3 linked regions of the Drosophila melanogaster genome follow. The protein of the gene in region 3 interacts with the protein of the main gene of each other region in a pairwise test. Each region holds a gene or a part of one and is shown on either strand. Other genes may lie near its edges. The genes, in order: Acp95EF, GstD1 and CG9757.

Region 1 (2,957 bases), about 11 Mb from region 3:
AGCACGACTTGGGCTTCGTGACCTTCGATCTGCAAACGAATCTCACAGGCATCTTCAACTGGAACGTGAAGCAGCTGTTCCTGTATCTCACCGCCGAGTACCAGACACCGGCCAATCAACTCAACCAGGTGGTACTGTGGGACAAGATTATCCTGCGCGGCGACAATGCCGTATTGGACTTCAAGAACATGAACACCAAGTACTACTTCTGGGACGACGGGAATGGCCTGAAGGACAACCGCAACGTATCGCTATACCTCTCGTGGAACATCATTCCGAACGCGGGACTCCTTCCCTCCGTTCAGGCCACTGGAAAGCACCTGTTCAAGTTCCCGGCCGACTATGCCACCTCGTCCATTTAGAGCTTAGGGCTAATGCTAAATACAGCTGGTTCCGCCCGGGTTCCCTAGCTTGTAGTGTCTATCTAATAAAACCCCAAATAAAATATCTTTGTAAAGATTTCGAACTGTATCCCAAACGAAAGAAACTTAAGAGAAATTCGTTGAAAATAATTTATTTTTGGTCCATTTTTATAATGACAATTTTATCTATAGCTTTCTATAGTAATTAACCAGCGAGTGACTGCAGAGCGCCAGCACTTAGTTTTCGGTCTTTCGTCTCAAATCTGGGTTTGGCAGTCGAACTAGGGTTCAACACTGCAGCTGAGGTGTTAAGGGATAGAGCTACAACCAAAATAGCAATAAAGAACTGTGCGAAAATTTTAAAAAATATTAGATTTTGGAACGCAGATATGATTAGTACCAACACACCAATTTTACTGAGGCCATGTTGATATCCGCTAAAGAAATCGAAAACTATACTAAAAATGTGTAAAAGATCTCCAATATATATATGACTGGTATTCAAGGCCGCATCGAATGGGTTCGTTTCAAAATTTAAAACTGAATCAAATTCGTTAACATTTTTTACAAGGCTTACGCAATGAAAAAGACTAATTGACCTTTGAAAATGTAATCCTTAAGACGAAGATGATGAACCCAACATATGAAAATACTTATTCGATCAATTCACAACTAATACGAAAAGGAAAGGATTTTGCATTCGGAAGATTATTTTTATTTCAAACTTCCTAAATAGAAGCATTCATTAGATTACTTATTTTACAGTCGGGGTTTTTTTTTTAATGTCTATTAATGCTGCAGCATCTGACATGCGATAACACAGTTGTCCTTGACCTAGTTGTAGAACATAAACATAATAGATGCACATCAAAAATGTTTATTTATAAGATCGGTTAAGTTTTAATATGGCAACGTATGACAGACATTCGTAATACAAACTTGCGTAAATGCATTCAGGAGTTCGCAGTTTTATGATTATTTATCTGATTACATATTTTAGCCTTGGTATGTTTTCCCACTGGGGACGTGCGAGCGTATCTTGTTTAAATATTCTTTGGTCTATATTTATAATAATTAAACAAAAAAAAAAAAAATATCTAATTATAAAACAATACTTTCTTCGATGACTATAAATTTGATATACCTAGAGTTCAAATAAATATTTTAAATATACTTTGAGATCATCTTGAGATACTTGTTTACTCTTTGTTTCTCGCCTTTTGGCGATGTTCGTCTAATACTTCCCGCAATCGCTTGACGAAATTAGCTTGATCTCTCGGAATAAAGCCCAGGAAGGCGTTCCTCGGGGACGAATACAGCAGCATGATAACCTTGCAGACGACCTCGGAGGAAAATCGGGCACAGCCACAACTGCCGGCGGACATTGATGATGCTAGCGAGTCGTGTTCTTCTCCAGGTGTCGATCGGAGAATTATAAGTTTCGAGTCCTTTATAAACGCTCCGGCGAACTGACCAAGATAAATTGAAGGCATCAAAACCATAGGCATATCAGTTGGCCAATCCTCCGCACTGATCCCGGGATCACCGTTTTTTATAGCTATGTACACGGAACACTCAAGCTTGTGACTAATGCTTGGCTCCTCTAAACTTGCTTGTGTCGACCAATTCAGCGATCCAGTCCATAGGAGTTCATTTATAATGGCATCTTCCTCCACAGGAGGCGGTTCTTCTGGCTGTGGCTGCTTGGGTGTTTTGACGCCCGGCTTTCGTTTTGCACCCTGAAGAATCTCCTGCAGTCGTTCGCTAAACGAATCCTCATTGTTGGGTATGAAGCCAACCAAAGCTTGATGATCGCGCGAGTAGATGAGAATTAGAGCCTTGATGTTGCAGTTGGGATTGGAGGGGAAGTGGATGCAACCAGCGAAACCAGAGCTCATCGCCGTGATCAATAAATTGAGTACCTCTCCTTGGCTGGATCGGAATACAACCATCCTGGCATCCTTTAGGAATTGTTCGCCAATTTTACCCAGCACTTTTTTGGGTATCAGTTGTGTTTTCAGCTTGTTTGGCCAGTTCTCCGTGTTGATCTCCGGCTGACCTTCTTTAACCATGGAGCAGATTTTGCATTGGACCGTGTGCAGAGTCTTCGGTTGATCCAATATCTGTGCATCCTCCCATTCGAGCTCTCCACTCCAAATTGTTTCCTTTGAGTCACCATTTTCAGGATTTTCCGGTTCTTTTTGCAAAAGCAACGCCCCAATCATATGTGTTAGACAATCGAGTTCCCCTTCGTCATCACCCACTCCTCGGGCTTCCTCTGGAACCGGCTCCATGCCCCTTTCAAGATGCAATCTAATTAAATATGGATTTTGTCGGATAGGCAACTTGTCGGTTAAAAATTTGTTTATCTGTGATATGCTTCTTCTTGCTTTTAGCGGTTTGTTATTGGTATCGCACTATCGGTTGGCTGGTTGGTCGATTGGCGGCCATCGAGATGCAACGCAATGCAACCCTGGCCAATCACTCTCACTTCTTCTTCTGCGTTTGTGTCAAAACAAAATTAAAACTAAAAACTCGCTAAAACCGTCTCGCAGCGCAATTATCTTTAGACTTCGTGTTATTTATGTGTTTGAA
Region 2 (4,072 bases), 1.2 Mb from region 3:
GTCGTTAATGCACCTTGGAATGCACATAATGCACCCATTTTGATAAAAGCTTATTGAGACAGTTAAACATTCTCTCAGAAAAATAACATAAATATCTACAAACTGTGTTTTTATTAAAAATGGTGCCCATAATATATAAAATATGTCGAGATTTGCTTCCTTTTAAATGAATAATTTAACTTGGTAATTTTCCACTTTGTTATCTACCGTTAAAAGCTTTTTGAAGAACAAGAAATTACAAGAGCTGCCTTTCTGATGAAAATTTCAGAACCAAAACGAAATTCACTCTAAGTTTCTAATCTATTTCACCAATGAATTTAAGTCTGATAATTTCTCACTTTTTCCTTACAGATTTTCAAGCTTCTTTTTTGAGGCCTTCACCACATAAAACTAACGAGCATCGCGAAAATATTCTATCTTTTATTATCTTTTTTTGTTTGCCTCTCGATTCGGAGAGATTTAGCAAAAGAGGAAAGAGAATCACCCCTGGCATCAAAGAGAAAATAACGAGCATCAAGAGAGCCCACTTATTCAATTGCAGTCCCTATCCACAATATCCACTATCCACATACACATAGTAATATATGTAAATGTACACCCATCTAAAAACAAACTCATTTGTATTTTGTGCATTCAAAAAAAAGAACACTTATTTATTGTCTTTGGAGACAGGCGAATTTGGAATTGTTGTTTGTGAACGTGAATATAAATACTACATCATATGTACGGGTATAAAAACGTGAATATCAGGCTTATTCGAAGTACTTCTTGAACTCCAGGCATCCGGCCCAGTTCTCCTCCCATCCGGGAGTCACCTTCTTGGCGTTCTCGTACCACCTGTTCACATTGGCGTACTTGCTGATCTCGAATTTGGCCACCTCGAATGTGGACACGGTTGCCACCAGGGCAATGTCGGCTACGGTAAGGGAGTCACCGGCGGCGTAGTCCTGTCCCTCCAGGAAGGTGTTCAGGAACTCGAAGGCGGCCTCGATCTTCTTGAAGGCCTCTGGATCGGCGGGCGCCTTGGCGAACACCTGTGGGTAGTAGTAGTTGGCGAAGCTCTGGTACAGCGTTCCCATGTCGAAGTACAGGCGCTGATTGATCACGGCGCGCTTCTTGGGGCACTTAGGGTACAGGGAGTCGGTCTTGCCGTACTTCTCCACCAAATACACCTGGATGGCGCGGGACTCCCACAGCGCGAATCCGTTGTCCACCAGCGTGGGAATGGTGTGCTGGGGATTGATCTTCAGGAACTCCGGCTTCAGGTGCTCACCGGCCTGCAGGTTGAGCAGCTTCTTGTTCAGCTCGACGCCCACGGCCTTGGCGGTCATGATCACGGAGCGGCAGGGGGAGGAGCCGGGCAGGTAGTAGAAGTCAACCATTTTACTGTAGAAGTTCGAAGAACTATCATTTAGTTACAGTGCTCGCAATAAATAATTTGTAGCCAACTTGTTAAGAAATATTATTATCTTCGCTAATTTCTAACCAACGGTTATTTAAAAGCTTAGGGCATTCATTTGTATTTCTAATTTGGGTTTTAAATGGAAGAAGAATCAAGTTGAAAAGAAACTGAAAACAATTGTGAGTCCGCCATATTTGATTGGAGTGAACAAATCTCCAACTTCTTTTCAAATTTAGATGTGAGCACCAAACTTTTTCAAGCATATCCACAAGCGTCGCATTCATATTTAAATTAACAATCTCCCCCTTCTTGAGACCCAAATTGCTTCTGTATTATACACATTATCCATATGGCATGCAAACAGAATAGATCTGGATGCTAGAAAGATATGCCACAATTAGACGCGCTCTATAATTACAAGTTCAGCAAAAGCGGACTTTAATTGGGCCGCCATTACAGAAGTTCACTTGGCTATGATGTCATATCGGGGCTATAATACGTTCAAATGTTGGTAATTTTCCATGCTGCCAATATTTCCTTTTATTTTTGACCAAACACAGGCACACAATCACAAAACACAATATATATAGAAATTGCTGTGGGGAACTTACATTTTTTTCTTCTGTTGTGAAACTCGCGATGTACACTGTATCAAATGAAAAGTAGCACTGAACGGAATTCGAAGAGCGAGCCCACTTTTATAGGGGCCGGCTGTGGTCGCCACAATGCCGGCAAACAAGAGTTGTAGCTTGAAGCGCCCCGCGGGGCGTGGCAAGGTGGGGAGAGAGGTACAGAGAGAGAGAGAGGGGGCTGCTAGTTGTTGTCGTGCCTGGGTTTTTTTTTTGTCTTCTATTATATTCTGACTTGCCCACACATACCCACTAATGGCGGGCAAAAATGTGACGTTAGCGGCGTGATTAATACACTGTTGTGTGGCCATGGGTGTGTGGAGACGATTGATAGTGTGTGTGTGCGTGCTCTGGAGGAGGTTGCACTCTATCCGTTCCCTCATACACCTCCACCATACCCCCGCAAAAGAAAGCTGCAACTTTCTAATGATCCTCCATTGGAACGAAGCCTTTTACTCGCTTAAGAACAAATTTTGTTACATTTCTTTATAATTTCTGATTTTAACAAACAGATAACAAAGAAGATACAATCCTGCCATACAGGTATTATTAATCGTAGGGTATTTACACATCGACTTGCTAAGATTAGCAAACACATAAGCATGCAATCGATTAGCTTGAAACACAATTTTGCATTTCTAATGAACATCTGTGCGCCTGAAAAAACATAAATTCTTTTAAAATGCAAAAAAAAATAAGTACAAACAAATAAGCAGGCAAACAGAAACCAGATAAGAATTCAAGCCGGCCGGCAAACATTGATATCAGGCAAACATATATGTATGTATGTACATATGTACATATATAGCAACAGTTGTCGAGTATTTCCAACACACAAGCAAATCGCGAAAGGCTCATACCGTACTAATAAGACCATAAAAATATAACCGTTTTTCGAATTATTCAATATACTTTGACTCATAGTAATAATTTTAATGGGTAAGCCCAAGCTATGGTAGACAAATAGTAGTAGATTAAATGATGAGTCAAAGGCACATGCAAATTCGAAATTACTGGTACACATTTTCAATGTAACAATATGGATGGGCTTAGTCCATATATCGATCGACTTTTATTGTTTGTGTTTGTTATGACGGCCTTGGGTTTTAATAAGTAATTGCTGTGACCATATAACATGAAAAGGAATACTAGACTTTCATTTCTTGGAAGTATTTGATACTATCAAAGGCGAACACTTGAATATTCCTGCTACACTTCGCTGGGGGTATTTAATTTCCCCAAAACAAATTCGCTTTTATCAGTTTCACAATTCGCAATACCAACTATCAGCATGACCGGGCAAAAAAATTCAATAACAAGTAGGAAAAAATGGAAAGAGCATTTTCGTGGGCGACACGTCAAACAAATTGCGCTCTTAACGTCGAGAACAATCCACAAAACGATTGTGAAATCAAAAATTCCGAACCCCAAGTTCCGAGAGTTACTCATTTGAACATAATGCCGAAATCCAGCTGAATCATGGGAAACACGAGATCGTAAGTATAAGTTCGCCAATAACTGGTTGGGTTAATTCACCAAAAAGCCGGCCCAAAAGGTAGCGTAAAATGTAGAGAAAGGTCACTGTGTTTGCCACTGCAGATCAAAAAAACCAGTTGGACGGCATTGCCAAATGTGCGTCACAGGAAAATAAAGTGAAAAGCGCAAACTATTTAAAGAGCAAAGCCAAAGAGAATGGATAGGACGAAGAGCCCCAATAATCTCTTACCTCCACATCATCGAGATCTTCTGCCGGCCTCCCATATGAGCACATTTAGCCTACATACATCTACTTTCTCGATTCCGTTTGCCGGTGATTCGCTTTGTGTACAGCTGCGCTGATCTTTCTCCGATCTCCGCTTTAGAATACATATTATACCATAAAACTGAATATGTTCAAGTTTAGATTGATATATAAAAAAGTAATAAATTATTATTATTAAATTTATGAAGATCTGGGGTGTGTCCACATGTACTCTTACTTCCATATGACGGCTTGAACATACTTTTGAACATATTTTTCGAAATGTCAACAAAAAATGTT
Region 3 (3,350 bases):
TAAATTAAAAATACACTTTTTACTCGACCACCGACGGCGCAGCGAAAAAGTATTTTGACTATGACTGTCATAATCAGTGGAAGTAGAAAAAGGCAGCAGAAAACTTTCAGAAAGGCCAGGCAAACATTTAACCCTCAAAATTCTACCTTCTACCAACTTCACAGAAGACGATTAGTAGAATTACTGATTTACATTGGCCAGGTGTTCAGGTTTTTGGCCATAAAATTCCATAAATTATAGGTAGACCAGGTTCATGGTTGTTTAAATGTTGTAGCTTTTTAATGTGCGTTATAGAAAAATTACACGACCTTGAATGAAAACTTGAAAATACGTCTCAAACGGTATAAATAAGTGATATTAGTTTGGAAAGCTGAATAGTTTTTTGATGGTGATAACGATGACATTATAATTAGTTGATATGAAAAATGTTGGCAAACTAAAAAGTGCTAATAAACATTAAATCACGTGCCATTCAATTTAGATGTTTTTTACCTGCTTAAGCAAGGCGAATCTTTTTTAATGCGAGTCCCCCTTAAAAGTTTTTAATATTTTCTTGCTTGCATTTTGTTTGTTACTTCTTTAAAAGTTCAACACAAAGTTTTGCCTCGTCGCAGAAGGATGGCTATAATGTTGTGAAAAACGTAGGCAGTCTTGTCATTTTCTACATTTTACCTTATCCCCGTTGAACTGAACTGAACTCAACTGATGGTCGGCAATTGACGGATGACAGGTCAGACAGCAAATCAGTTTAATATACAAGTTTCAGACGTAGCAGATTTATTTTAACAGACACTTTGAGTGCATAATTGAATAAAAAGTTTTCGTATCTCGGTTTTTATTTCTCCAGAAAGTGATACAAATTGTTGGTTTACATTTATTATATTAGGTCAGGTCAGGTGAATTAATGTTTTCTAAGCATTTCAAAATATTTCCAGCCAATAAAGTAATTAAAAATAAGAAAATAAATATAATAAGCTGATGGTTTCTTCTGCTTTAAATATAAAACATGTTTCGCCATTTTTTGTTATGTAAGATAACGAGTCTGCCTAAAATGGGTTTTGAAGATCAACAACAAACTGGCTTTTGATTTTGTTTACTAAGTATTATTATTAATTATTAGTATTTCTGAGAATTTCATAAATTAGGATTTCTCCGCTTATAAACCTATTAAATCTAGGTTTTTATTTATAACACGCACACTTGTACTATTACGTACACTTGTATAGTTAATTACGGCAGAGTTCCTTTGTTTTGTAAATAGTATTGAATATTCCATACTTATAAATGAAGTGCTAAATCTTGATTAACAATGACCGAACCAGATCTTAAAATGTGCTAACCACTGAGCAAGCTAATAACCGAAATGAGTCAGTGCGTTGGCCAAAAATGAAACCGACAACATTGATGACATTTGAATAACAACCAGTTGCGTCGACTGTTTACCCTTAGATTTTAATTAAGTCAAACAAACAAAACAAAATCCCCGAACTTCCCGCATTGAAAAGCCTTACGAAATCCGACAGACGAAAGATGAATGGAGAGGCCCACTTGAGATGATGCTTCCCATCTACACTTGGCTTGGCCACTTGTCTATCGATCTGTTTTGTTGTGCGAGCCAAAGAAACTTGAATGTTTTGCGCATTTGAATAGTCGTCCGGAGAAAGCCCATCCTGAACCGGCTGGCCACTTCAGACTTTCCCCCTTCGTCTATACATTTGGTGGGGTGTTTGCCAAAAAGTTTGCCTCCGTTTCTGTTGCCTAATAGGTTTTGGTTATTATTATGGAGCAGCTTTATTGTTGTTGCTCATAGCGCTTAGCCAGACAGTTAATACGAATCGCTCTGCTCGTTGTATACATTTCAGTTCTGGCGTAACACTCACAACTTTGATGTTCCGCGCCCAGTCGAACCACTTCTACTTTTATTCGCTCCCCCATTGCCAGTCGATAAGTTCCGAATCATATAAATTGACCGGCCGCAGAGCAGAGACTTCGTAGAATCCATCGAAACTTTGCCGGTGATTAGTAGCAGAAGTTTCCTCGAAAATGCGCACATTTGTTTGCCTTGCCCTGGCGACCATTCTCCTGGTCGCCGGCTCATCAGCAGCCACATATGATCCTGTGGCGGCGCAACTTCTGGATGTGGATGCAGGTGTCCAGGCTCCGGTGGCAGCACGCCAAGCACGTCAGTTTGGCGGCGGCTTTGGCGGTCCGGGAGGCGGTTTCGGAGGTCCAGGCGGCGGATTCGGAGGTCAAGGCGGCGGATTCGGAGGTCCAGGCGGTGGATTCGGAGGTCAAGGCGGCGGATTCGGAGGTCAAGGCGGCTTCGGAGGCGGTGGCTTTGGTGGACGTCCAGGTGGCGGCTTTGGCGGTCCGGGAGGCGGCTTCGGAGGACCAGGCGGTGGCTTCGGTGGCGGATTTGGAGGCTAGAAACCAAGCAGCAATCATCTGTGACTGACTAAGCATAAAACGCTAGAAATAGACTTTGAAATCAAAGTGCAATCAAGCACGCTCTAATTAAGTTCGAAATACATTTGCCCCTCTTCTTTGATTCACTTAATTTCCTTGTCATTTGCATGGCTTTCAGTGATTGGCATTGGTCTTCAGGGTTAAATGTTGTTTGTGAATGCACTAGGAAAAAAAATGAATGTGGATACGAAAAGAAACAGGATGACTTGAAGCAATCAATGCTAAATTAAGAAGCTGATTAAAAGTATGCCACAGTATTTAAACTTTGGAGCCTTCAAACTTCCAGTCTTTCACAGTACAAGTATACGTATAAAAATGAAGATAAATTTGAAAATTTTTTTTCTTGGACTGTAAATCAGCATTTAATTCGTTCGTTCACGGTTTGTTTGCTTTTTCCTACTTATAACAAAGCAGTCCATTGAAGAAACTTTGCTTCGGCTGCTGCCACTGGCGTTTGCTATCTAACTTGCCAATCGCGTTGGATGGCAAAAGTCGTTTAAGATTAAACGCTTGCTGTAAAATTTCTCTTTTGACAAGCGCCCCTTTTATTGTTAAAAAATTAACTTGGCTTTAAATTTACGCCTTTTGTTATCCCTTGACCTCTGCGCAAAGTGAAGCCAACCAACCCAACCATTCCAAAAGCCCACCCACTCATACAAGGGTCATACGCCAACATTGATAAAAGTTTTCGTTTTTTTCTCGTTGCCCCATCACCCTCTTTTCATTTTTTCTGGCTCGTGAAAAATTTCTTGTTACTAGAACGCAGTCTTGTAAAAGGCTTTGTTAGTCTACACTTTCACGGTATACTTTGGGAACTTTGTTAAAAGTGGACTTTTCCCTTTTTTTTCCCAGCGATTTAATGACTTTGCATAGTTGGGGTTTAA

What was found.
Region 1: the proteins of CG9757 (region 3) and Acp95EF interact in a two-hybrid assay, tested with the Drosophila melanogaster proteins (one large-scale study listed by BioGRID).
Region 2: the proteins of CG9757 (region 3) and GstD1 interact in a two-hybrid assay, tested with the Drosophila melanogaster proteins (one large-scale study listed by BioGRID).

Annotation. Positions count from the first base shown.
Region 1 is NT_033777.3:24,226,823-24,229,779, reverse strand, and holds Acp95EF (accessory gland protein 95EF), read right to left. Parts: upstream 806-2,957; 5' UTR 789-805; coding exon 771-788; exon of another isoform or gene 709-770; coding exon 568-708; 3' UTR 501-567; downstream 1-500. Other genes in the region: Spase22-23 (spase 22/23-subunit), read left to right, coding at 1-362; CG13609 (uncharacterized protein), read right to left, coding at 1,562-2,656.
Region 2 is NT_033777.3:12,367,190-12,371,261, forward strand, and holds GstD1 (glutathione S transferase D1), read right to left. Parts: upstream 2,080-4,072; 5' UTR 2,014-2,079; intron 1,405-2,013; exon of another isoform or gene 1,387-1,404; 5' UTR 1,383-1,386; coding exon 753-1,382; 3' UTR 628-752; downstream 1-627. UniProt on the Drosophila melanogaster protein: Conjugation of reduced glutathione to a wide number of exogenous and endogenous hydrophobic electrophiles. Has DDT dehydrochlorinase activity. May be involved in detoxification.
Region 3 is NT_033777.3:13,611,071-13,614,420, reverse strand, and holds CG9757 (uncharacterized protein), read left to right. Parts: upstream 1-1,987; 5' UTR 1,988-2,043; coding exon 2,044-2,427; 3' UTR 2,428-2,838; downstream 2,839-3,350.